7 linked regions of the Mus musculus genome follow. The protein of the gene in region 6 interacts with the protein of the main gene of each other region in a pairwise test. Links are inferred from orthologs where the notes say so. Each region holds a gene or a part of one and is shown on either strand. Other genes may lie near its edges.

Evidence for each region.
Region 1: the proteins of Lnx2 (region 6) and Phykpl interact in binary tests that used the Homo sapiens proteins (3 or more experiments, as listed by UniProt). The link is inferred for Mus musculus from reciprocal best matches to the Homo sapiens genes LNX2 and PHYKPL.
Region 2: the proteins of Lnx2 (region 6) and 2310057M21Rik interact in binary tests that used the Homo sapiens proteins (3 or more experiments, as listed by UniProt). The link is inferred for Mus musculus from reciprocal best matches to the Homo sapiens genes LNX2 and C10orf88.
Region 3: the proteins of Lnx2 (region 6) and Lrrc8e interact in a two-hybrid assay, tested with the Homo sapiens proteins (3 studies listed by BioGRID and IntAct). The link is inferred for Mus musculus from reciprocal best matches to the Homo sapiens genes LNX2 and LRRC8E.
Region 4: the proteins of Lnx2 (region 6) and Map2k5 interact in binary tests that used the Homo sapiens proteins (3 or more experiments, as listed by UniProt). The link is inferred for Mus musculus from reciprocal best matches to the Homo sapiens genes LNX2 and MAP2K5.
Region 5: the proteins of Lnx2 (region 6) and Tubb5 interact in a two-hybrid assay, tested with the Homo sapiens proteins (3 studies listed by BioGRID and IntAct). The link is inferred for Mus musculus from reciprocal best matches to the Homo sapiens genes LNX2 and TUBB.
Region 7: the proteins of Lnx2 (region 6) and Ptcd3 interact in binary tests that used the Homo sapiens proteins (3 or more experiments, as listed by UniProt). The link is inferred for Mus musculus from reciprocal best matches to the Homo sapiens genes LNX2 and PTCD3.

The regions. Positions count from the first base shown.
Region 1 is NC_000077.6:51,583,337-51,587,580, reverse strand, and holds the start of Phykpl (5-phosphohydroxy-L-lysine phospho-lyase), read right to left. Parts: upstream 2,801-4,244; 5' UTR 2,761-2,800; coding exon 2,702-2,760; intron 2,068-2,701; coding exon 1,949-2,067; intron 1,036-1,948; coding exon of another isoform or gene 1,021-1,035; coding exon 861-1,020; intron 1-860.
Region 2 is NC_000073.6:131,356,227-131,359,726, forward strand, and holds part of 2310057M21Rik (ATPase PAAT), read right to left. Parts: intron 1,441-3,500; coding exon 1,234-1,440; intron 1-1,233. UniProt on the Homo sapiens protein: ATPase that regulates mitochondrial ABC transporters ABCB7, ABCB8/MITOSUR and ABCB10. Regulates mitochondrial ferric concentration and heme biosynthesis and plays a role in the maintenance of mitochondrial homeostasis and cell survival.
Region 3 is NC_000074.6:4,229,827-4,233,326, reverse strand, and holds part of Lrrc8e (volume-regulated anion channel subunit LRRC8E), read right to left. Parts: intron 2,321-3,500; exon of another isoform or gene 1,865-2,320; intron 1,666-1,864; 5' UTR 1,661-1,665; coding exon 1,523-1,660; intron 1-1,522. UniProt on the Homo sapiens protein: Non-essential component of the volume-regulated anion channel (VRAC, also named VSOAC channel), an anion channel required to maintain a constant cell volume in response to extracellular or intracellular osmotic changes.
Region 4 is NC_000075.6:63,375,103-63,379,402, reverse strand, and holds the start of Map2k5 (dual specificity mitogen-activated protein kinase kinase 5), read left to right. Parts: upstream 1-1,500; 5' UTR 1,501-2,145; coding exon 2,146-2,280; intron 2,281-4,300. UniProt on the Homo sapiens protein: Acts as a scaffold for the formation of a ternary MAP3K2/MAP3K3-MAP3K5-MAPK7 signaling complex.
Region 5 is NC_000083.6:35,835,502-35,839,634, reverse strand, and holds the start of Tubb5 (tubulin beta-5 chain), read left to right. Parts: upstream 1-1,333; 5' UTR 1,334-1,581; coding exon 1,582-1,638; intron 1,639-2,898; coding exon 2,899-3,007; intron 3,008-3,361; coding exon 3,362-3,472; intron 3,473-3,595; coding exon 3,596-4,133. UniProt on the Homo sapiens protein: Tubulin is the major constituent of microtubules, a cylinder consisting of laterally associated linear protofilaments composed of alpha- and beta-tubulin heterodimers.
Region 6 is NC_000071.6:147,021,073-147,024,572, forward strand, and holds part of Lnx2 (ligand of Numb protein X 2), read right to left. Parts: coding exon 3,280-3,500; intron 1-3,279.
Region 7 is NC_000072.6:71,880,138-71,882,450, forward strand, and holds the end of Ptcd3 (pentatricopeptide repeat domain-containing protein 3, mitochondrial isoform 1 precursor), read right to left. Parts: intron 2,093-2,313; coding exon 2,051-2,092; intron 1,528-2,050; coding exon 1,369-1,527; intron 1,095-1,368; coding exon 1,016-1,094; 3' UTR 501-1,015; downstream 1-500. UniProt on the Homo sapiens protein: Mitochondrial RNA-binding protein that has a role in mitochondrial translation.

The sequences.
Region 1 (4,244 bases), on a different chromosome or scaffold from region 6:
GGGAGAAACAAAACCAACCAGGAGCTTTCTAGTGTTTCATTGTTTTTGTTTCCTGAGACAGGGTTTCTTTATGTGTCCTGAAACTCCCTCTGTAGACCAGGCTGACTTTGAACTCAACAGAGACCCACCTGCTTCTGCTGAGATTAAAAATGTCTGCCAGCACTGCCTGGCCTCTAGTGGCCTGAAGATAAAAACAGCTCCTTCCATTTGACTGTAGCCCTGGACCCTTTCCCAGGACCTGCTCACTCTTTCCTCTTTTGTTTGGTTTGACAACATTCCTTGCCCCTTCATGCCACAGGGCCTTTGCCCAGGCTGTGCCAGGTGGTGACCAACCTGGACAAGCAGACTTTCCCCAAAGTGACAGCACCCTTCCTTCCTTCCATCTCCCCTAGCTACCTCCCCAGGAGCTCTTAGCATCTACACAGAGGCACAGTCAAGTCAGGTCCCCTGCTGCTTGCTTCTAGGCTTCATTATTTAGTATTCTTGCTTCGGAAAAGGACACTGCCATACTTTTATATTTCTCTGAGGAACCACTAGATGTTCTCTGTAATCTTACATTTCTCTGAAGAATTACTTGGTGTCCTGTAAGCTTGCTGAGCCACCTGAGGGCTGAATCCACAAGGAATAAATAAACCCATTACTTCACTAAGTCCCAATGTGCCTAGAAGGGAGGCGGTGGTGTCCTCTACAAAGGAAGAAATGGGAGCCAACAGAAAGAGCTCTAGGATCTACAACCTAGAAGCCCAGGAGCCTCGCCATGAAGTTGGCTCCACGCTCCCAAGCTCTCTGCACTGCACCCACAGGGATGATTCTCTTTTCTGAACTTGTTCTCAACAGCATGTTGTCTGCTGTTCACTTACCCAGAATTCAAGAAGTAAAACACAGAGAGCTGCTCCGGCAGGGTCTCCGACAGCCTCTGGGCATAGTCCACGATGTTGTCATGCAGGTAGCGGCTGTTGGTGTTGAGCACTAGGTTCTGTTCATGTGCGGCTTGGACCACGGTAGGGTGGCAGTGCCCAACTGCAAGAGGGGCATCTGCATCAAGTGGCCGACGTCACCCAGCCAGCCCCACCAGATGCCCCCTCCGCTCTATCTGCAAACCCATCCAGGGGAGACGAAGTTAACGAAGGCAAAGTGGAAAGAGGGGAGTTAATGATGGGGCGGGGGAGCCCAGAAGAGAGTCCAGCAGAAGGAAAAGAGGGTCAGAAATGCTATCTAGAAAACAAAGGTTTTTAGAGAGGTATTTTGAGACTCAGCTGGAGGGGCACTGTCAGAGGGTCAGCCATGGCATCTGCATTCTTAGAGCTCACGTGCCAACATGGTCAAAGCAAGGTAGCAATAATTAACACAATTACCTACAACACCGGGCAGTGAGTTTACCAAAAAGGCCCAGGATTAAGTCATTTCTCCTGAGACAGGGTCTCTCTGTGAAGCCCTAGTTGTCCCTGAAACTTGCTATGTAGGCGTAGGCCAGGCTGGCTGTTAACTCAGGAGACCCCCCTGCCTCTGTGCCCTGAGTGCTGGGAGAGTCCTGGGTTTTAACCCTTACCTGCCTGCAATGTGCCTTCTAACAGCTGTGGTAGCCCAGTTGGCTGAATTCATACTAAAGTTTCCTATTACCCCTATAGTAGTCAATAGAGGTGAAGGCCTGCTGTCAGCACCCTGCACGAGGCCAAGATGAGCACACTACATTTGTGGTCATGGATGGGTGGACTGTATATATGCCTGGTTTGATGTGAGTTCCACGTGGGACGTGCAGCTTGGACCTTGGCATGTGAACCTCTCAGGCCTGCCTGGTTTAGCACAGCTATGGTGTGGAGTCTTTTCACAAAGACTGGGGTGCCCCCCTGAGCATCCGATTCAGTTCTGTTCAACCCAGGCTATCAGTCAGATCTATGGCCTCAGCCTCCTCCCCTGTCTCACCAAGGGTGAGAGGCGTCATACTGACCATGAGCCACGTTGTTGATACAGTCCAGGTACTCTCGCCCTTGCTCATCGTACAGGTACTGCCCTTGGCCTCGGATAATCTTAACAGGATCCTCAGGAAAAAAGAGTCTGCAGGAAGAGCTGTGGGGACAGGCAAAGGATCGACAACCCTGTCTGAAGACTGACCTCCACTCATTACAGCCCCCTTCACTCCTTCCTGATTCTGGGATGGACAAAAGCTTGCAGGGCACGGTGGAACTTCCCTGCCTCCCCATTCCTGTGAACAGGACGGAGCAGAAAGTTTCTGAGACAAAACTAAGCCTTTGTGGCCCTCTCAGTTTTGCTTGCACACTGAGACTCCTCCAGTCCCAGTGAAAAGGGCTTCGGAATGGCTTCCTGAAGAAAACCCCCTTGTTAGGAGCTGCATCTCAGCCCCTAACATTCCTTGCCAACCCAGTGGCCTTGCTGTCCCCGTTAGTAATGGCTAGCTCCAGTCCTAAGTTCCAACCATAAGCTTCTCTCCACGTGGCACCGAGGATACTCCTCACAGGCCAAGAGCAGACTTCCTGTAACCCTGCCCGTGACATGACTGCCCCCCAGGCCAGGCCCAGCTCCTTATGCAGGTGGCTGCCAGGGGCAAAGCTCGCTCCACGGGACAGGGGACGCCCCGGAGTCGCGGGGTGGTTCACGGCCGCTTCTAGTAGGCTGAGGGAGGCGGGGAAATCAGGGACTCGGGGTGGGCGCTATACGCGCTTTCGGAGCCCACACCCGGTACCTGAGCAGCCGACGTCTCAGGTCCAGAGTGACGGCCTTGGCGCGCGTGTCCGCGGCCATGGCGCCGAGCGGTCAGCCAGTACCCAGATGCTGCGCGCTTAGCTCCGCCTCCGCCCGCGACGTCAGCTCTGGGTGGGGCTTCAGTGCTGGTCCCGCCCCCAGGAGCTCCCTTCCCGGGCGTTTACGGAACTTGCAAGCGAGATAGCTTGCAGTTCACGTCATCACGGGCGGATACTCTCCGCTGATCCATGGTCGGACTTCGCCCTTCTCTCCTACGCCCGAGGTTTCCCTCCCAGGAATGTGTCCCCAGACCGCCAGGTGGAGCGGGACTCTAAACTGCGGCGGGGCACGCCCGAGCAGGTTGCTGTCTCTGCGCTGATAACGTGACACCCTGTGAGGGTAAATTACTGGCACCCTGGAAGGACAAAGGCCTTCCTGGCATGGCGCTGTAGAGTTCGGTGCCACTGCTGGGGCAGACCACGGAGATCTCTAGAAATTCTTGCTAGGATTAGACAGGATAAACTTGACATGTCGCTACAGGAAGAGAATTTTGCAGTGGGCAGATAGGAAGAGGTTTGGAAAACTTCTGAGTCCTACCTTATGTACTGTGCAGGAAACAGGCCCAGAAAAGAACGGCTTTGCTCCGAGGCACACAATAGGCCCGCTGCAGAGGCCGGACTAAAACAAGGTCTCCTGAACTCTTACCTAGCACACTGAGTGACAAGAGACCTCTGTGGTCCCGGAGGTGGGAGAGAAGGGATACTCCCTTATGGGTTGAGCGCTGGAGCTGACTGTCTTGATGAACCCTGGAACAAAGGCCTGAGAAGGCCCCTCAGCAGACTGGGGCAGTCTTGTTCACATGCCAGCCCGCTGCCCCATTCTCCAGTAGCTTATTTCTTTTCTTCCCTAGAAAACTGCAAAATGCTTACAGCACTTATTAAAGAACAGCTTTGTATTCTTGTGGTTTTTGTTTGTTTTTATTGTGGTAAAATATACATAAAAAAACAAGCAATTTTGAAGGGTACATACAATTCAGTGGCATTAGTACATTCTCAATGTTGCATCTTGTCACCAAAACCCAGTCACAGAGCCCTTCCATCTTCCCCAACTGAGCGGTATTTCATGTTTTTAACCATAAACCTACCTAAAAGTCCATCTTCCTGCTCAGAAAAGGCCTATCCTTCCTGTCCTTGGTCCCATCCTCTCTCCATTTTCTGGCATCTGTCCTTTCAAGGCAACCCTGGAGGCCAAGAAGGCACAGGCTGAAAGGAGGAAGGGACTGAACAAGACTTGGATGTAGTGGGGGGCATGGTGGTGCAAGCCTGTAATCCCAGCACTTGGGAAGCTGAGGCAGAGCTGCAACTTTGGGACCAGCCTAAGTTATGTATTGAGACCCTGTCTCAACCAACAAGCAATCATTCCCCTGCCCAACCCTTGAATCCAGAGCAGGGTTTCCTCAGCTGGCATTCACAGTGAGCAGCTTCACTACTGGGCGTGTCCAGTGTCCTGGATTTCAGGTGTATGCTAACCTCGACTGTCTTCTG
Region 2 (3,500 bases), on a different chromosome or scaffold from region 6:
TTAACTGTCTAGTCTCAACGACTCTGCGCTTCCTGGCCCAGCAATCGCATGACCCAGCGTCACACACGTTACGGCACACACGTTACGTCACACACGTTACGTTACGGCACCTACTGTAAACCACATCACCTCTCATGGGTGGGAAGTCACATACAGCTGGTCTCTCGGTTGTAGTCTTGCTTTCTTTTGACTTACTTTCCATATAATAGTGGTTTAAAATTTAAAACATGCCAAAAGCATTTACACACTTAAAATAGCATCAAAGCTCTCTATGATCCAGCACAAATCTTCAAATCTCTCCTGTCTACTCATTCCCTTTCGTTCTGAGCTGGATCTGACTCCTTCCAGCACAGAGGATCATACCCATTACTAGAGTCTCTCTAAAATAACCAGCCTCTAGGTGGCCATGACTCACCCACCTTCCTCTTCCATTACCCAAATGAAATGTGACCTTGGTTTTTTTCTTGGCAGTTCTGTGTAGCCCTGGCTGTCCTGAATTCATTCTGTAGACCAGACTGGCCTCAAAATCAAGAGGCCTACCTGCCGCTGCTTCCCAAGTGCTAAGATTAAAGTCTGGCCAATATACCTTTCTTAATCTCATCATTTGCCACATAGAATGCTTATAGGCTACACTCTAACTGATCACCTTTATACCCTCAAAGGGGAGCAAGCCAGAGTCTTGTTCACTACTGAATGAGCGCCTACAATGATCTGAGGAAGAACTGAAGATTCAGTCAGAACATTTTGTAGAAGGGCAAGTCTACAAAATGCAACTTTTACAAAAATTAAGAATGGATGACAGTTAAGTCAGTAGTAGAAATTAATAAAAAAATATGAATATTCCATATTACCATATTAAAGCCATCATTTAAAAAATTGTTTGGCTTTTGGGGTTTGTGTGTGTGTGTGTATGTGTGTGTGTGTGTGTGTGTGTGTGTGTGTGTGTGTATGCGCGCGGTTTGGGAGCAGGGGAGAGCTAAAGTCAGAGAATTGCCTCAAGTTCTCACCTTCCATTCTTCGGGACAAGGTATGCACCCTATCAAGTGGGTGGTGAACTTCAGGGAATCTCACCCCTTTACCTCCCATCCTTTTGTAGGGAAACAGGGATTACAGACATGTTTACTAATACCGCCTCCGTTTACCCAGGCTCTGGGAATCCCACCTCAGGGTTACTCACTGAACCATCTCCCCAAAATGGCATTTTAAAGTGTAGTAAAATATATCTCTACTTGCCTGCTGCTGAAACCTAATCATGCTCATGAGCTGCTGCGCTCCAGGCGATAACCTGGACCCCATGGACTCCATTATGGTTTGGATGTTGTCAAGGTCTATCCGTGATCCCAGAGCAGCAGAGCGCGGTGAAGGATCTGCAGACCGTGGCCTCAAGTGCACCACCACCTTACTGACAAGCACACACTGCTTCTCCCCGAAGGACAACAGCTGCCACGAAACAAAACATTCTAAGAAATGATGGTGGTTATTGCAAACAACTACCACATAGAAGACTTCTTAGTATTACCAAAACAAGACAGGGCATCCAAGAGTCTATAAGTTAACTTCAAACGCATTTAAAGTTTTCCTTATAGTAGTCAAAATTAGAAAATAAATTCCAATGTATCACGAGGCAAACACCAACTGTTTACATAAAGAAATCATTTCCAAGCCATAAGACATACAAGAAGAATACAAGCGTTTTGTTTACTTGGTTTAAGGAATTAAAAGTAAACCACACCTGGCTGGGAGCACAGCTCAGCGGTAGAGCACCTGACTAGCATGCTCAAGGTCCCAGGTTTGAGTCCTCCATATGACCAGGGGAAAAGAAGAAACCCAAGAACCCTGGATCTTAACATACCCCAGTTGGCTGGGCAGTGGTGGCGCACGCCTTTAATCCCGGTGCTTGGGAGGCAGAGGCAGGTGGATTTCTGAGTTCGAGGCCAGCCTGTTACAGACTGAGTTCCAGGACAGCAAGAGCTATACAGAGAAACCCTGTCTTGAAAAAAACAAAACAACAACAACAAAAAAAATCATACCCCAGTTGGCTTTAATATTATTTAATATAAAATAAAACTGCCCATACAAGACTTATCTATATCCCAATCATAATTCAGCCTTCTGTAGTTCAGAAAGGAAGGGGTGTGACGTCAGAACTGCTTAATAGGTAACAGCTGGTGCCAGGGTGACTTTCTAACTGGTGAAGGACACTCAGTGGGCCTAAGTCTCTCCTGGCTTTTTCCACCATACATTTCCACTTGTATTTTTGTGTCTTCCCATTTCGTTCCCTCTGGGGTACTAAGAGAACAGTACCTCCCACATGCTGGTCAGTGCTTGCCTCTGAGCCATGTTCCCTTCACTCTGGCAGTTTAGGCTATGCATGTTTCTCAACCAAAAGACATTCCACACGTGGTATGAAGGGACTGGCTTTAAATCAGACACATAAGTTTAAATTTTGAGTTCTGCCATTTTATAACCTTTGCACTCCTGGGCAAATACTCTGAACCAGAGGATGGTAAGATGACTTTGAATAGAGGTTTGTATCACTAAGTATTGCTCTGAATTCTCTACTAGGAACATTAACACAAGCTTTCCTATATGCCAGAGGGGCTTCCGAATTGAAAGCTCTCTTCAGACTAACACGTACTTCCAAGGATCAGTTACAAAAATTATTTACTTTGAAAGCCACATAAACTCCAGTCACAAGAACGCAGGTCAAAAAGAACTCAGGCTCTATAGACTCAAGAGTGGTACCAAAAAAGTATGTGGCAGTCCTCAAAGGTTAAGGAAACACTCATTAAGTTTACAGTCTACCTCATTATTACCTCCCTTCTTTTATCTATGTATTTTCAGTTTTTAGTTTCTTCCGATAGAAATCTCAGTAGGGAGCGCTGGCTGGTCTGGAACTCACCTCACAGAGCAGGCCTCAAACATGCAATGCTGCTGAGTGCTGGGGTTATCGGTGTGTGTGTCTCCATACTAGGTCTTACTGTCTCCTTTATAGTTTATAATCCCAGGACCATTTTTCATCATCGACTACAGTATCTTTTTTTTTGTTGTTGTTTTTTGAAACAGGGTCTCTATGTAGCCCTACTTGTTTTAGAACTCACTATGTAGATCAGGCTAGCTTTGAACTCATACAGATCCACCTGCCTCTGCCTTTGCCTCCTGAGTAATGGAATTAAAGGTCTGTGCTACCATGACCAGAGACTAGAGTAGATAGTTTATATTATATATAATCAGTAAATCTAGTTATCATCTGTCTTATCCCACTAAAATAGATGCAACATGGAGGCTGGCACTTCAGTTTCCAATTGATATTCCTACATGCCTGGTGCAGTTATCTGCTATCAACAGATACTAAAATATATGCTAGATGAATTAAATTACTTTATTTAAATGCCTTTATAAGGTATTAGTTTATTCCACTTAAACAGATGTTGGCATAACCGGCTTTGTGAACTGAGCTCTTCAATGAAAATCTTTTTTTTTTAAATTTTAAAACTAAG
Region 3 (3,500 bases), on a different chromosome or scaffold from region 6:
CCAGAGGGGCTAGGGTGTTGCTCAGTGGTAGAGCCCCTACCTAGAATCCCCCCGTGAGGGGCTAGCAGTTTGGCCCTGCAGTAGAATCCTGTTTAACACTGGAAGCCACAAAAAAGGAAAAAGTAAATGTGTATGGAAACACTCTAATATTATTTTAGACTTTGACCACTGCTTGTGGGGATGGAGGAGAGAAGGTAGGGGACTAGACTTGGTCTGTGTGGAGGCTTTGGCACTGCCTTCCTCTTGTCTGTTTCTCTTATTTTATTGATGATTTTTATTGAACCTGGGACCTCATGTAAGCTGGACAAGTACTCTAATACTGATACTTTTTCTTCTTTCCTATGTTATTTATTTTATTTTAGAGATGGTCTCACTGTATAGGCCAATTGACCTGGAACCCAGGATCCTGATTCATTTTCTCTATATCCTGGGAACGCAGGTGTGCACTGCCACACCTGGCCTTAATTTTAACTTTGAGTCTTGCTAAGATGCCTAGGCTTCAGATTTGTGATCCTCAGGCCTCTGTCTACAGAGCACTCACCACCATGCCCAGGCTCTTTCTCCCTCTTCTTAGGAGACTTGGGAGGCTTCAGGACTTCAAGCAAAAGGCCTACTCCTTTAGAGATCTGCTCTTTTACCTAGAGAGCCCAGCTGAACACATTTCCCTGTCTCATCATCATGGAGGGGTCTTACCCATATGCATAGCACAGTTGAAGACCCCCCTACCCCAGGCATGAGCATTGTCATGTTAAGACCACGTCCCTTTATGGTCCTGCCCTTCACCTGGAACGCAGCCATGGTGAGGCCCAGTTCCTTCATGACTGAAGGGGCTAGAGATTGGTTAAGAATACTTGTTGCTTTTGCAGAGGACCCAGGTTTGGTTCTGAGCACCCACATGGTGGTTTACAAGCATCTATAGTTCCAGGAAAGCTAACCTTTCTTTCTGACCTCCACAGGTGCCAAGCATACATGTACCTTGCATGTACACATACATACATGCAGGTCAACACTCATACACATAAAAGAAAAAGTTTGTGTGGGTTTTTTTTTTTTTTTTTTTTTGATTTTTCGAGACAGGGTTTCTCTGTGTAGCTCTGGCTGTCCTGGAACTCACTCTGTAGATCAGGCTGGCCTCGAACTCAGAAATCCACCTGCCTCTGCCTCCCAAGTGCTGGGATTAAAGGCGTGTGCCACCACGCCCGGCCAAAATGTGTGTTTTTAAAAAGACACTCATGAGGAGAGTTGCCAAGATGTGTCACACCTTCACATCCCCAGCCTCACCCCTAACCTGGAAAGAGCAGCTCAAGGCCCCAGTCATTAGCATGGTCAGGAATATGGCCACAATGAGAGCCAGATCCCGTGTACCCCCTCCCCTGTCTGCTCTTTCACCTACAGAGTTTATTGCCATAACATGGCCCTGCCTTGCCACATCCCACTCATTGTCAAGAAGGTGTGTCCTAAAACTCTAGTCATAGGAACTGCCAATGTGTGTGGCCCTGCCCGGGTTTGTTTTGTTCCTCACCTGGAGGGTGCACCCGAATACCCCGATCATGAGCATAGCCACGGTGAGGTACTCAGCCAGAACATCCCACCAGGGTTTGAGCACCTTGAATGCAGGCTGCTGCTCTGTGAACTGCTTGAACTCCGCCACTGGGATCATCCTGCCTATGGGAGTCAGAAGACAAGAGGGGTTGAGACACCAAACAGTGAGAGCAAGGGTGTGCCTGGTGGAAACCCCGAGAGGCCAGACATAGCTCAGAAGCCTACGCACTCTCAGCCTGGCCAGAACTTTCTAGAATCTATGCATCGTTGTATGTTCCCTTCCCCTCTTAGCCGGGGTCTTGTTGCTTCCTTCGGAACTCACCTCTTTCCCAGTCTCACAGCGTTTCCCCTCCTCCAAAGCACAGGTTTATCTTTCACTGCCTGCCCTCTTCAGAACTCTGTGAGAGTAAAAAAACTACAGGGCAGCTGTCCTCCAGTCTCCTCCTTTGGCTGCCCACCTCTGAAGGAGGAAGCCTGTGACATTCGTTCTGGTACTCCTTTATTCTAGCTGGGTTCTCACCTCCACCTTGCCACCAGGGTATCCCCAGGCTCAAGACTTCCGGGGTGTGCCCCCCTACAGGGGTGCTCTGGGCACCACCTCCATTCTCTAACCGGAAAAGCCGGCTAGGGAGAAGCAAGCTGGAGCGTGGCTGTGCTCTAGTTAAGGGCCTCAGGGGTTAGGGAGTGGCCAGGCTGAAGGCTACTGAGCCCTGGAGGCATGTGCCAAGACACCTGACTGTTCAGATAGGGACTAGAGCCTAGAATCTGAAGTGGAAATAAGAAATCTGCCCCCCACCCCCACCCCCGGGGAAGAGTTTTGGCATGTGTGGAAGCATGAGAATCACTAAACTGGAAAACTCTCAGGGTGACACCTATGACTGGAGCCTGGCACAGGGCTGCCAGCCCACTCTGTCTATCTCTGGTTTCCTTTTCTACTAAGGTATCATTATCACAAAGGCCAGACCCAAGTCACACGGGGGTGTAGAATGTGAGCTAAGACAGGACTCCCAGGAAGTCAGCTACTTGCTTAGGGCAGAGAAGGAAGCAAAGAGTGAAGGTCTCTTGGACAGCCCACCCCTGTCAGCATCCAAGCTTTGTGCGCGCACACACACACCAAGGTGTGGATATGGAAGAGTAGGGGGTTCTGTAGAAAAGGGAGCAGGCATTACGTCTTCCTATATAGAAAATATGACACTGAGGTCCCAAGTTCATCCTGAACCAGGTACATGTAAGGAGACGACCAGAGAACAAGGTCCTTTACATATGCTCACCAAACACTCTCTTAAAAGTCTCAGGCTGTGGAGTAGCTCAATTGGTAGGGCACTTTTCTGGCATGTACAATTCTCTGAATCCAGTCTCTAGCACCACATAACTAGGCATACTGACACATGCCTGCAAATCTTAGCACTTGGGGATTTCAGGTAGGAGGATCAGAGTTCAAAGTTATCCTCAGCTACATAGGAGACTCAAAGCCAGCCTGGGTTACATGAAACCACATTTCAAAAAGAAATTTTGTTGCCCTCCTTAAAGAGGGGCTGTAGCTTAGTACTAAGTGTTTGCAAGAGTGTCTCCAGAACTGGAGGGGAAAAAATCCCAATCTTCATAATCTGACAGAAATAACGAGGGGAGAGAGATGACTCAAGGGATGCTACACATGTAAAATCAAGGACCAGTTCCCTGTCTCCACCTTCCACGACCCACGTCACAGTGTCACAGTTCCCAACTCTGCCAGGCTACCCTCACAAGTCACAGGCCAGGAGACAGGAGCCCTCTGCTCAGCTCCCAGGAACAAGACACGATGTAGACACACAATCAGAGGGAAGCACAGGGGATTATCATTGTCTGGCCCCGTGACTCAAACAAGATCTTGCAGAACCTGCCATTAAATTCCAGCAGGCAGATGGAAGGCTGGCCCCCTTCCCTGTGTCTGGACAGAGATAGTGGAAAGGTCACAGAAC
Region 4 (4,300 bases), on a different chromosome or scaffold from region 6:
GTGGTGTTTATATTACTTAACAAAGAGGTACTTTTGAATGTTAATAGTTCTGTGAAACTCTGCTCAAATAATAAAGTCTTAAGATTTCATGCTATGTAAAGGCTACAAAAAGTTGAAATGTGATTATATTTGCTCTTTAGATATTTGGGAAGCTGAGAGACTGCCATTCATATATTTAAAAAAGTGCTTCAGAATATACATGCAAATTTGGCAAATGGTGTTGGTTTTCCCTATGGTACTATGAATTTTTAAAAAGACGTTTTAACAAATCATAGGTTAATAGAAAATCTCTAGTTTTGTAGTTAATTTTCCTTAATAATAGAAATAAAGTTTAGATTAAGAAGTACATGGCAAAATAGTGAATTTTTCTTTAGCACTGAAGAGCAGTTACAAAGGGGTAGTTCCAACAGTACCTGGAGAATCGGTCTACGTGAATTCCTACCTAAGCTATTAAGGAATAATAACTAAAAGATGGTCATTTATCTCCTACAATGGCCTTTCAAATGCAACAGGAAAAAAGCCCAAGTAGAGGAAATTATGCCACAAATTTTGGTATTACATTGAAAATGATCAACATTTAATTGTTCCTCCTCTTACATTAATCACATATCTGTTTATTCCGGGGAAAGTGGACACTGGTCCCACCACCCCACGCACTATGTTTATGCATAATCAGCCCCAAAAGGTAGAGATAATAGCATAATTTAATTACAAATAAAGGGCCTACCTACACGTTGCCATTTGTAAGCAATTCTTTTGTATAGACACATAGATCAACAGGATTATGCACTTTAAAATGTGAGGTAACAAGGCATTTAAAAATAACCAAGGTTTACGGCTACTGCCCTGCTATCACTGACTGCATAAACACTGCAATTTAGCTGAAAATATATGGAACAGACGGGATATTTTTGCAACGGTTGAATAAGATATTATGATGCCAGAAATACAGCTGTCCCCAGGCAGTTAAGCGCTCTCCATTGAGTTTCTTTACTGTTGCTTTTGAGTAGGAGATTGCTTGGTACTGTAGGTCACTGGTTAGGGTAAAGGACCTCACTGAAAAATTCATGCACACTTTGCTAACGTGGGAGAAAAAATAGTGGTATTTTGGAACTGTTAATTGGAAGAAGGGGCATAAAAACATGCTTTTTTTTTTTTTTTTCTTTTTTTAATAAAAAGGTCTTGCCTGGCTCTTGCCGATTTAATGTAACAAACCCGCGGATAGTAAAAGGTATATAACTTGACAAGCTGGTGCTGCCGTCTTGTCCTTCACCGCCTTTTCTGCATGATCAAACCTTAAATTGTTTTACGGACAGCCCCCAGCCGTAGATCCGTGTCTTCCTGGGTTTTCTAGGCTCCTTTACCACTACCTGAAGAGATGGAAGTCAGCCAGTCCTAGCACGAGATCCCTGCTCCGCCCCAGCTGCCCTCTTCCAACATGGCGCCCCAGGAGGCGGGTCCCACATGTCGGCTCCCCGGGTTCCGGCGCCATCGCGTTTTGGTTCCGGAGTAACAGCGGTCTAACGGCCGCCTTCCTCCTCCTCTCGCCGCCACCTCCGCTGCCGGGACGCGGGCCTCAGTCGGACGATCCTGCACGCGCCGCGCCCTCCGGTTCCGGCTGCGGTCCGGGACCCGCCCCTTGACCCCGCGGCCCTGGGCCCCCCTGCCTGGTTGGAGGGCAGGCGCCACCGGTGCACCTCCGAAACAGCCCCGACCCAGCCCGCGGCGCCCGGCCACCGTCCCCTTGCCCACCGAGACACTCAGGACGGCAGGACCCTGGCCACTGTACCTGCCTTAAACCAGGCCGTTGCTCCGCTGTCTCCTCTTACTCACAAGGACTACAGAATGCTTGTGGGTTCTGTTTTGTCCACTTTTGTAACTCCAGGACCTTCCGCTCTCTACTAATTCCTCTTGGCCGGTCCCCCAACAGTGCATCCTCTCCTAGGGACACTCCACACGACCTGGGCCTGGTTTTGGGCCTGCAAGCTCCCTCCTGATCGCTCCTCTTCACTTCTCCCCATCTTCTTGCTCCCTATTTATCGCCTGCCTTCTGTCTATCGTTCCCCTTGTCACTTCTTGGGGCTCCTCCTAAGTAGGGGCAGGTCGGTACCCCTCGCCCCAGGATGTGAGACCCTTTAACCTGTAATGCTGTGGCTGGCCCTTGGCCCCTTCTGTGCCATGGAGAACCAGGTGCTGGTGATTCGGATCAAGATTCCAAATAGTGGCGCGGTGGACTGGACCGTGCACTCCGGGCCGCAGTTACTCTTCAGGGATGTTCTGGTGAGTGGTGACTTTAGTGGCCAAATCCCAGCGTTGGGGATTATGGATCTGGATAGGCAGCATCTTGACCATTGGTGGCCTGAGCTGGCCTCTGGTGGGGTCAACTTACCTGTTTTAACCACAGTCTCGGTTAATTGCACTCACTGAAAACTGGTAAATGTGCAGCGCCCTGGGAAATTGATGTATCCGACTGAACCCCTGCCCTCAGGAAGCTCACAGTCTGGACTGTGACTTACACACCAGTGCAGACAACTGGGATGTAAAGAGTTTTAAAACTGTTTCTTATATTTTTCTCAAGTATTTGGAAAGGATTCCTGCCCTCATTCTAGCCCTGTCACTGCTGAGTTTCCTGAACTTGTGACCTGCTGGGAAAGGGACACCAGGGCAATCTTAGTTTACAATGGTTAAGCAAACCTTAGATGCCACTGAATGGGAGACCTAGACTTAACTATCAATATGGAAAGGATGCTGCCTGTTAGAACTACAGCACATCATTCCGTGACAAACACAGCTCAATTTCAGAGATGTTGAGTGTTCAGGGAAAATTTACATCTTAGAATCAACAGTGCATTGCCTTGGGATGCTTAGAATATATTTCACACAAAATTATGAAGGTTAATGTAGGCTGGCCCTTGAGTCCATATATAATATATACTATAAAACATTATGTATGTGTGTGTTTGTCCTGAATAGAGAGTAAAAGGACCTTCCGAGGACTTGCTCCTGAGGTTGAGAGTCAGTGCCAAAACTATAGCTTCCTTACTTAGTATATGAGTATATGTGTGTGCAGATGTGTGTGCGTGCATGTGGAGATCAGAGATCAGCCTCAGATGTGCTCAGGTGCCATCCACCTTGTTGTTTTGGGATAGGGTTGGCTGGCCAGCAAGCCCTGGGCATTCGCCTGTTTCAGCATTCCCAATGTTAAGATTACAAGCACTCATGCCACCAAGCCTGGGCCACCTGTCAAGCACCCACTTCCTAGGTTTTTTGTTTATTTGTTTGTTTTTGTTTATTTTTTATTTTTATTTTTTAACATGGGTCTAGAGATTAGTCTCAGGCCCTCATGTTTGCATAGGAAACACTTTGCCAGCTGAGCCATCTCCCTGGCCCCCAAATTTACTTTTGTTTCCTGTAGTGTCCCCATATACTTCAGTCCACGTGCATCTTTCTAGTCAGTTGACATTAACAGGGTGACATATATGTATGTCCACAGTAACTCAGCAGGAGAATTTGGTGTACGGGGAAGAATGTTTTAACAGGCAGATGTGCCGTCTGACTTACAGGGACTATAAGAGAACACTGAGTGGTGTCATTTACTGCCTTGGGTTGATAAAAAATGAAATGGTGGTATCTATAATTTCATTTTGAAAGCTAGATGCTCGTACCACCAAGGCCATGCTTGGGTCTAAGCCAAGCATGTGGCACCTTAGGTGAGCTAGCAGCCTCCAGTCTTTGACCCCGAATGGCATCCCTTCTCTGCAGCTGGTGCTCTTCACAATATGCACAGTGCTAGTCTCCTTTCCTCATAAGGCCCCACAGTCCTCCTTGCTGTCCTCAGGCTCATCTTGATTATCCTGGCACCTATGTCCTCTCTTGCCACATCTTCTTGAGCATCCTGTGTCCCAGGTGTACAGAGCTACTGTCAGTACTCCCAGGTACCCAGGCTGTGCCTCCACTTTGCCTTCTTTGTCTGGCTCTCACCCACCCTTCCCTGCCATGCCTCACTCTCCCTGTGTCAGTGTTTGCCAGGTGGCTGCCATGGTAGTCCTATGTCCATCCCTGTGGCAAAGCATGCATTCAGGATGATGTGCTTGTCTATTCTAGAATGTAAACATCTGGAGGAGAGAAAGAGCTCTGTTTCTGTTGCGTCATAGCATCTGAGACTTGAGGAGGGGCCAATGGGTGCTTGCTGTGTGAGCCTGAACTTGGGTACAGTCCGTGGAACCTATGGTAGAACCAACTCCTGAATGCTGTCTTCTGATTTCCACACACATGGCCATGGCATGTATGCATCCGTGTT
Region 5 (4,133 bases), on a different chromosome or scaffold from region 6:
GCTTTGAGGATACTTAGTAATTTTCGAAACCCTGGAAAGAGAACATTAAGGCCTCTAACTTGAGCCCATTCAATCAACTCCCTTCTTCCTGCTCAGTTCCAGCACATTGCCACAGACTCACCTAATGAATAAAATCATTTAACTGGAAAAACAAACAAATCCCCTTGCTTCAAGCAAGTGTCTGAGAGAGGGAGGCACTGTCTAAAGACTGACATTCTCTTAGTCTGTCCACCCTACAGCCTGTCCTGACAGGATGACCAGAATGTCTTCAGCGTCGTCTGAAAGGCCCAAATCCCACGCAGATTTTACATACACCTTCTGTCTTAGGCAGGATTTCCATTCCTGCACAACCAAGAAGCAAGTTGGGGAGGAAAGGGTTTATTCAGCTCACACTTCCACATTGCTATTCATCACTGAATGAAGTCAGGACTGGAACTCAAGCAGGTCAGAAAGCAGGAGCTGATGCAGAGGCCATGGAGGGATGTTCTTTACTGGTTTGCTCAGCTTGCTCTCTTATAGAACCAAGACTACCAGCCCAGAGATGGCCCCACCCACAATGGGCCCTTCCCCCTTGATCACTAATTGAGAAAATGCCTTACAGTTGGATCTCATGGAGGCATTTCCCCAACTGAAGCTCCTTTCTCGGTGATAACTCCAGTCTGTGTCAAGTTGACACATAAAACCAGCCAGTACACCTTCATTCTTTTGGGACATCAGCTCCATGCAGTTTTCACCACGATCTTTGCAATTTTGTTTCTCTTTTGAAAATCCTTGAGACAACTCCCTTGGAAACAGAAGGGTAATTCTTTCTTCTGGAGGGATGCGAGGGAGCTGTGCCTTACTGAAATTCCTGTCTTGGGATCACAAAGAACTAGATACTGTGTATCAGGGAAGGACAACATAGTTCTCAGGATTTTCCGCTGAGCTATGCAGTCTGGCTTTTCTAGACCTACTGCGGTGGGCAGCTGGCAGGGCGTGTCCAACACACCTTCCAACTCTGGCACCTCAGATCTCCTAATTACTACATTTCTCCAAACCTCTTTTAGTACAAAATCCTCTCTCAGAATAGAAAATAGGAATCTCGTGTGAGGACATTTTTCATGAAAAAATAAAATCACACACACACAAGATAACCCCAATTCCTCATACAGTACCCACCCATTCCTAACTTCTTTTTGCAGCGTGGACAACAATAGAGAACTACAACTCCCAAAAAAGACTGCGCTCGCCACTGGCTCAGAAACCAATGGCCGCCTGGCACGTGATCGGTTGGTCTAATCAGCGACTGGTTGGGTAGGCTTTGTCTAAGACCCGGGGCGCCCGCCTATCTCCCGCCCCCGGCCGCGCGAACGCGAGCCCCGCCCTGCGCGCCTTCCCTCCTGCGCTCGCCGGCCTCTTCTGCCTCTTAGAACCTTCCTGCGGTCGTGCTTGCATCTCGCTGCTGCAGCCTCCCGGGCTCCGGTCCATCCTTTCAGTCTGAGACCGGCCCAGAAGAAAAAAACCCCAAAAACCTTAATTTTCTTTCTTGTTCGGTACCTACATTGGAACCATCAAAAACAATTATTTCAGTAAACCGTAGCCATGAGGGAAATCGTGCACATCCAGGCCGGACAGTGTGGCAACCAGATCGGTGCTAAGGTAAGGACTTTAAAATTTTAGCTGAAATATGTAAAGATGAGAATTCTGTGTTAATTGTGAGCATTGTTCACGGAGTTCTTGCATTCTCCACCCGTCAGATTTGGCCCCTCAAAGTTTTTCACGTATAAATATAACCCATATTTGTAGCTAGCGTTCTGATATTGAAAAATGAGGAAATGTTTTTCTTGGCACATTTTCGGAAAGCTAATAAAAGAGCCTTTCGAGTTTAGGGAAAAGGAGAGGCTGAGGGACTGTGAAGAGCTGGTCTTAAAAGGGGTTTTCTAACGGTTCGAGGACTGGAGGGATGCGGAAACGATCCGAGACAAAGCCGAGGCGAGGTTTTCCCCTTGCGCCACCCCCACCCAGCCTGGAGGGCTCTACTGGAACAGAATGGAGGGGGGAAGGGGCGAGGTTTGGCGGGCAGCTGCAGAGGTGCCCGGTGCGCATTACCTCTCAACAAAGGCTTGGACACTCCATCGAACCCGCCATCCCAATGCTTTTTTTAGGTAATGACTCTGTATAGGGGCCTACTTTTACTTTTCATTGCCCTTTAGGGTGTGAGCGGTATGAAAGTGAGCTTTTCAAATATGTGAGACTGTCTGGGAGACTAAGGAGAGGGAAGGAAGGGAATAAAGATAGGCAATGGGGCTTTTTAAAGATTTTTCCCCCTTTTTTGCTAGCAATTAACAATGTAGCGGGGGAGGGGAGGGAGGAAGTGCGGCCGCTAAATTGTAGCCGAAGGGTGGGACCCTTTGGGGGCGGGGTTGGAGCCCCTGGCGCGCAGGGACAATGCGGCCCCTACCCGCGGGGGCGCACTGGCCCCGCCCCTCGAGCTAGGCCCCGCCCGCGCTGCTCCCGCCTTTGTGGTTTGCTGGAGGAGCGGCCCGCCACCGCAGTCACGTGGAGCACGTAAGGGGTGGGCGACTGCAGTGGCCGCACCTTTCTCCCCCAACTCTTTTGTGCTGGCCTGGAAGGGCGGTTCCTGGCTTCAGGAGCCAACCTGGGTGCAAAGCCAAATAGGTGGGCTCCAATCCGCCCACATAGAGGTTTATAGCGCCTGACCCACCCATCACCGGTCCTATGCCGAAAGGTTTTAGCCTTCCATCGCGTAGGTTCCTCCATGGGACTTCCGCAAGCAGATAACGGAATTGCAGTGTCTTCACCTCAGCCTCGTTTCAGCGTGTCTGGAATTGAAATGAGGGGCGGGAGGCATGCCTTAGGACTTGAGACATTGAGGCCTCGTTGCTCTTCCCTGTGCAGTTCTGGGAGGTGATAAGCGATGAACATGGCATCGACCCCACCGGTACCTACCACGGTGACAGCGACCTGCAGCTGGACCGAATCTCTGTGTACTATAATGAAGCCACAGGTGAGGGCAGAAATCCCCACTTAACATTTATTCCCTGTCCCCTGTATTGGACAGTGAGCCCAGATGAATGCATCACTGGCTGCCCTGGAACTCCCATAGATCGTCTACCTCTCAAGTGCTGGGTTTAAGGAGAGCATCACCACGCCCTGTTTTTCCACACTTCTAAGTATCTATTACCCCTCTGCATGGTTCCCATTTTTTTTTCCCTAGACTCACACCCTAAGGGACTAAAGATTAGCTCTACTGCCACCAGGTGGTAGTGCCTGGAATGACAACTTTAGTGCTTTGTGGCTGATCTCCCACCCAGAGGTAATGCATTGCTGATCCGTCAAACATTGACTTGAATTCCTGCAGGTGGCAAGTATGTCCCTCGAGCTATCTTGGTGGATCTAGAACCTGGGACTATGGACTCCGTTCGCTCAGGTCCTTTTGGCCAGATCTTCAGACCAGACAACTTCGTTTTCGGTGAGTTAGGTGGAATCGATTTCTATTTGCTCAACTGAATTATTCCAGTCGTTGAAAGATTAAGAAGTATTTGTGTTTCTCTCATATCTTAGTGATTAAACCTTTTCCCTTACTGCATTCCAGGTCAGTCTGGGGCAGGCAACAACTGGGCTAAAGGCCACTACACAGAGGGAGCTGAGTTGGTTGACTCTGTCTTGGATGTGGTGCGGAAGGAGGCGGAGAGCTGTGATTGCCTGCAAGGCTTTCAGCTGACCCACTCACTGGGTGGAGGCACTGGCTCTGGCATGGGCACCCTGCTCATCAGCAAGATCCGGGAAGAATATCCTGACCGTATCATGAATACCTTCAGTGTGGTGCCCTCGCCCAAAGTGTCTGATACCGTGGTCGAGCCCTACAATGCCACCCTGTCTGTCCATCAGTTGGTTGAGAACACGGATGAGACCTACTGCATCGACAACGAGGCCCTCTACGACATCTGCTTCCGTACCCTCAAGCTCACCACGCCAACCTACGGAGACCTGAACCATCTCGTCTCGGCCACCATGAGCGGCGTCACCACCTGCCTCCGTTTCCCGGGCCAGCTTAATGCTGACCTTCGAAAGCTGGCTGTCAACATGGTGCCATTCCCACGTCTCCACTTCTTCATGCCTGGCTTTGCCCC
Region 6 (3,500 bases):
GGGTGGTGCTTTAATTTAGAGGAGGGGCTGATATTGTCCCTTCCCCTGGACTCACAAGGACTCACACCTTTCTGGGAGACTCTAACGGCAGCTCGGCCTGGAGAACACCAACAAACACATTGTTCTCCATGAGCACAGAGATGCTACAGGCAAAGTGCTGCCTACTCATGGCTTGGAGGATGCTAGCCAGGGAGGGAGGGGGCACACTACACTTATATGTCCAGCGGTCTATGAACCTGGGAATAAGCAGCAAGTAAGATCTTAAAAACAAACAAAGTGAAATCCTTTTAATAAAAGTCCTCACTGGGAGCCGGGCGTGGAGGCGCACACCTTTAATCCCAGCACTTGGGAGGCAGAGGCAGGTGGATTTCTGAGTTCGAGGCCAGCCTGGTCTACAAAGTGAGTTCCAGGACAGCCAGGGCTATACAGAGAAACCCTGTCTCGAAAAACCAAAAAAAAAAAAAAAAAAAAAAAAAAAAAAAGTCCTCACTGGGAAGTGAAATCGGGTATGCAGTGATCTTCATCATCAACCTGACTGGGTTGGGAATTACCTGGGAGACTCACCTTTGGGAAGATGCACCCTGAGTGTGGATACCACCACCCCAGAGTCCCACACTGAATAAAAAGGGACAAAGAGGAGGTGTGCTGAGCACCAGCTGTCATCTCTGCTGCCTCAGGATGTCATGTGACCATCTGCCTCAGGATGCCGGTGACTAGCAGTTGCCTCAGGCTCCATCCTCAGAGCCAGCCCTCCCTCTCTGCCTTGATGGCCACAGCCTCAACATGTGAAACAAGCCTTCCTCCTCCTCCTCCTCATGTTGCTTGTGATTTGTTTGTCCCCACCGGAACTAATACAAATATCAGAGACAAGGCTATCTGGTTTCTAATCTGCTACAAATGACAAACAACCTCCAGCATGGTGCCACAACCCTTAGCTCAGGGGTAGGGACTTCTAAAGAGGCTCTGGCAAGCCGGAAGTCTCACCCCTGGCCCAGATCCTCAGGCACAGTACAGTCACCTTCATAGCTCTGCATCCTTTACAGCAAGCAGGCCAGCATCCGGTGTAGCAGGGCAGTGCAGGGGAACTCAGGCCACACAATAGCCTATATGTATAGGCATCCATTCAGGCAAGCTCAAAAATGTATCTCACTATACTGTCAACTTGTGACAACTTGTCTAAAACCCTTTCTGAGCTGAGGGGAGGGGCTGGCTCAGTTGCTAAAGTTCTTGCCTGGTAAGCTACAGGACCCACATAAAAAAAGCCGGACATGGGGCAACTTACATCTGTAACCACAGTGCTGGGCACGGGGCGGGGGCAGCAGCGCTAGGCAGACCCCAAAAGCTCACTGGCTACCAGCCTAGCCAAACGGTTCAGTGAGAGATGCTGCCTCAACAAGCAAAGGTGTAGAGCCATCAAGGAAGACAGCGGATGTTGATCTTCAGCCTACACACACACACACACACACACACACACACACACACACACACACACACACTCACTCGTGGACGGGGACACACACACACACACACACACACCCTCACACCACACACACTGATGCAAACAGATACAAACACACAGATACATACAAACACACACACACACGCACACACAGATGACACAAATCCTTTCTTGCTATGCCTGGCGTGCCATAAAATGCAATGCACAACAGTGAGAACATGCAGCCCCCAAACCAGGCTGGCACAGAGCCAGCTAAAGGCAGCACCAGGGTCCCGGGATTTCCTAGGAGGTTGCTATTCTGACCGATCCCCCATTGTCCGGGCAAACAGCTTCTAACCTCTTTATTGTTGTTTTGTTTTGTCGTTGAGACAGCCCTGGCTATCCTGTATCTCACTATGTGGACCAGGCTGGCCTCAAAATAACAGAGATCCACCTGCCTGTGTCTTCGGGTTCCATCCTTGTCTCCCAGCCACTCTGGGATGAACCTGACTACCCAGGTATCAGCTGAACAAGACTCCTGAGTTCCCTGGTTTAGACAGTAGCTCTTGCAGCAGTGGGATAGTAATCATTTGCGCCCGGTTTTCAAAAAGGATCCATTCTATGTGAATGTCTGTTTCCTACATGTATGTATATGTGCACCATGTATGTGCAGTGCCAGCGGGGACAGAAGAGGGTGTGGGAGCCTCTGAAACTGCAGACAGTTGGGAGCCGTCATGGGGGTGCCAGGAACCATACCAGGGGCCCTTGCAAGAACGCCAAGTGCTCAGATCCACAGAGCCATCTCTGCAGCCTCTGACTCCCAGGGCTGATGCCCTGATAAACATGCAGGACACAAGAAGGTCACTTTCCCATCATCAATCCCACTCCACAAGGTCCTGCCACGTCTGCGAGACATCACTTCTAGGCCTTGGGATTGAAAACCAAGAAACAAAACCACCAAGAGCTCCCGGGAGCCAGCCAGAGAGCTGGGGCAGGAGCGAATGAACGCAACCCCTCGGAGGTACCTGCTGTTCCTCATGAGAGAGTTCTTCACGGAGCGCACAGCGTGCGGGAAGCGCTCCTGGCTGTACACTACCTTACCCCACATGAGGCAGATGACTCAGAAAGTGGTGCAGCGTTCTGGTTTATTTTTATTTAGGAACCAGCAGCTTCGTACTTGGCTAATAGTCAAACATGCTTCACCATGCTTTTTATAGATAATGAGAATCTAAATTACTTTAGACACAAATAAGCACAGTAACACACGCTCTTCCTATCTCAGCACCAGCAGCAACCATCTGGAGAAAGGCAAGCACCCCAGGGTGCCAGGGAGGTTCCAACGTTTCCCTGGTCCCTACCGGCCAGCCAGAGAGCAGCTTGCTGGTCACGTCTCCTTTGTTCAGTACAGACTCAGTTCTAACTACCTTTTTACAAAATGATTCTAAGCTCTTGGCTAGCCTAGGCTACAGAGTGAGACCCTGCCCCAGAAACTCTCCTGTACAAGTGTGAGGCCCTGAGTCTGGATTCCCAGAGCCCAAACAGAAAAGCCAGGTGTGGTGGTGTGTGCCTGGACTCTCAGCCCATGTACAAGGGGGAGACGCAGTGCCGCCCCCCCTCAAAAACACTAAACAAAACAAAACCCCCAAAACAACAACAAACAAAAATCCCTCCTTAAAGGGAATTGTCTTCGTTTTACAAGAAGATACACTTTTTTGCTTTTATAATTTGGTGCACTTTACCTAACTAACGCCCTCTCTACGCACTGGGTGAGTTAACCGTGTAACTGATAAAAGTTAAAACACGCTCACTCTGAGACATCAGACCGAGAGAGCTCTTGGTACCTTGGCAGCCCGAGCCACATGACCCAGGACGGGGACCAGCTGGCGTCGTACTCGTTCTCACTGAAGGCGCTCGGCTGCTCCTCGGTGGCCTGGGCTGCTTCCTCGGCGATCTGCACTTCCAGGGCCTTGAGGATGACGGCCGGAGACGCAGCGCTGGCTTTCAGCATGGCCACAGCCTCGCTGTGACTTAGGTTGGTCAGGTCAATGCCGTTGATGTTCAG
Region 7 (2,313 bases), on a different chromosome or scaffold from region 6:
CTCAGTGCAAAACCTGGGAGGAGTGAGTGCATGGGCTGGTGAACCCTGCAAACCGCAAATTTGTAACTCCTTTCCATTAGTATCATTTACAAGAAGCACACCAAGTTGCTCAGTGGCAACATACTGTTACGACATTTCATATCCTTTTGTCATTACTAGCCCTCCAGATCTCTTTGAATACTTACTTATAAAGTGCCCACACAGACCAAAATGTTTTGTGGCAGTGGGGTGGAAATGGATGACCTCATCATCTTAGGCAAGAGCTGTACCACTCCTATCCCCTAAACATTCTTGGGTATTCTATTCCAAGAGCTGTACAAATCGTCCCTAAAATTTTTGAGTATTCTAGTTAGAAGATGACAAACTGTGTATGTATGAAACTTAGGTGGATTCCCAGAGCTGGCCAACCAGTCTAACTGAACCTGCAGTCTCAAGGCCTGTCTGAAGAAATAACCATTGTTCTCTGGCATCCATGTGAATATGTACACGCTTACAAAGAATTAGATTTTTAAAAATAACACAATTGCTTTATTTAATGACTTTACCATCTGGGCAGCCTAAACCAGTAGCTTGCTTCTGATTTAATTAGTTCTAAGAGCATCCATCTTTTTAAGTACTCTCAAAACGGGATACGATCAACTCAACAGTAATAACCCATCTCCATGAAAACCAGTTTGAATCCTTGTCTCTAGGCCAAAGGACCACACATCACAGAGCAGGTAGGCAGCAAGGGCCTGTGGGTTCTAACATGATGGGCGTAGTAGGAATGAGGCCTGCAAACAGTGTGTTTATGTGGAATTTGTTCTTCTCCAAAAGTCAGACTTCACAATGCTTGTTGCTGTCTTGGCAAAAAACTGGCCAGATGTGCATCTTAGCGGTACTGCAGATGAACCCCAGGGTCTTAGGTTTAGGCCAGTACAATACAATACAGAGCTTATATTGGATCCCAGCCCTGTATCTGTTTATTTTTACCACTTCTAACATTCCAGCAGCTATTGTGAGCCACCTCTCTCTCTCATTTGTCGTCACTGTCACTGTCACTGCTGCTTTCTCCATCGCTACTGTTCAGTTCAGTGAGGTTACCCAGGGCTTCTCTGTAAGGAAGAGAAATGATACCACACTTCAGCTCACAGGGTCAGGGTGTTTGGCATCTTTGATTATACACAGTCATAGCAGTTTTCAAAGCAGAAAAAGGATCCCCCAAACTGCACTGAACTATTATGAGAACAAAGAAAAAATTCCAAAAACCAAATGTTTATGATGAAGCCTGTAACAGAGCAAACAGGCATTACATCACCCACCAAACCCTGGCTTTGTAAGGGAAGCAGGAGAGAATGCTATAAGCACCAGAAGAGGAGATAGACTTACTTTTGTTCTGGGTCAACTGTGAAATCCATCACTACTCTTTGGGCAAGGCTCTCCCCAATAGGCAAGCTGAAGGCACTTGCCAGCTTTACAACCTCAATGGCCAGAGCAGTGCTACCGGATGCTTTCGCTGTGTCCATGAATTCCTCCAGCAATTCATTTCTGTATAAAAGAAGGCAAAACTGAACTGTACCCAATGCACTTTTCTACTGCAGACTTATATATCCAAGAGTCTTCATGTACGTAGGTGTACCATATGTCCACAGAGGCCAGTGCTGACCCCCTGGAATTGGAGTTAGAAACGGTTGTGAGCCTCCATGTGGGTGCTGAGAACTAAACCTTAGGAAAAGCAGCAAGGTGAGCCATTTCTCCAGTGTACCAAACTTAATAACTTTTAGTCAAATATTTATAGACGAGATTCAGAATATATTAATCAAATTCTCATTAACTTTGGACAAAAGATAGAGGATAACATTCTATATTCCACCCCCCCACCCCACCCCCTTCTCAAAATGATCACTGAATAGAGAAAAGGATGGCTTACAATGCCCTGAATGGCAGGAGAGAAACTGCTTGCCTGCCTAACTGGAGGGTTTAGGCATGTGAAGAAATTCCAACCACGCACCCAAGAGTCAAAGCCCATGTGACTAACTCAAGCCTGTACCAGCTGAGGCCCTCAACTTACCTGGGAATCTTCTTGTGCTTTTTGAAGAGTTCCAACATTTTCCTGTGGAAGAAGAGAACAGATGACTGCTGACAGAAAACAAGTGGCAGCTAGACAAAGCAAGCTATCCTTTTCTCGGGTTCAGAAGCTACGTGACCTACAAGTCAACTATTCAAACTTTTTCAATTCCTGTGGGCTCCACTAGCTCCCAATCTGGGTGCACAAATTCAACAGGTAAATCTGAGATGCAGCCGATTTAGAAGTGCTAGTTATATCCCCCACGG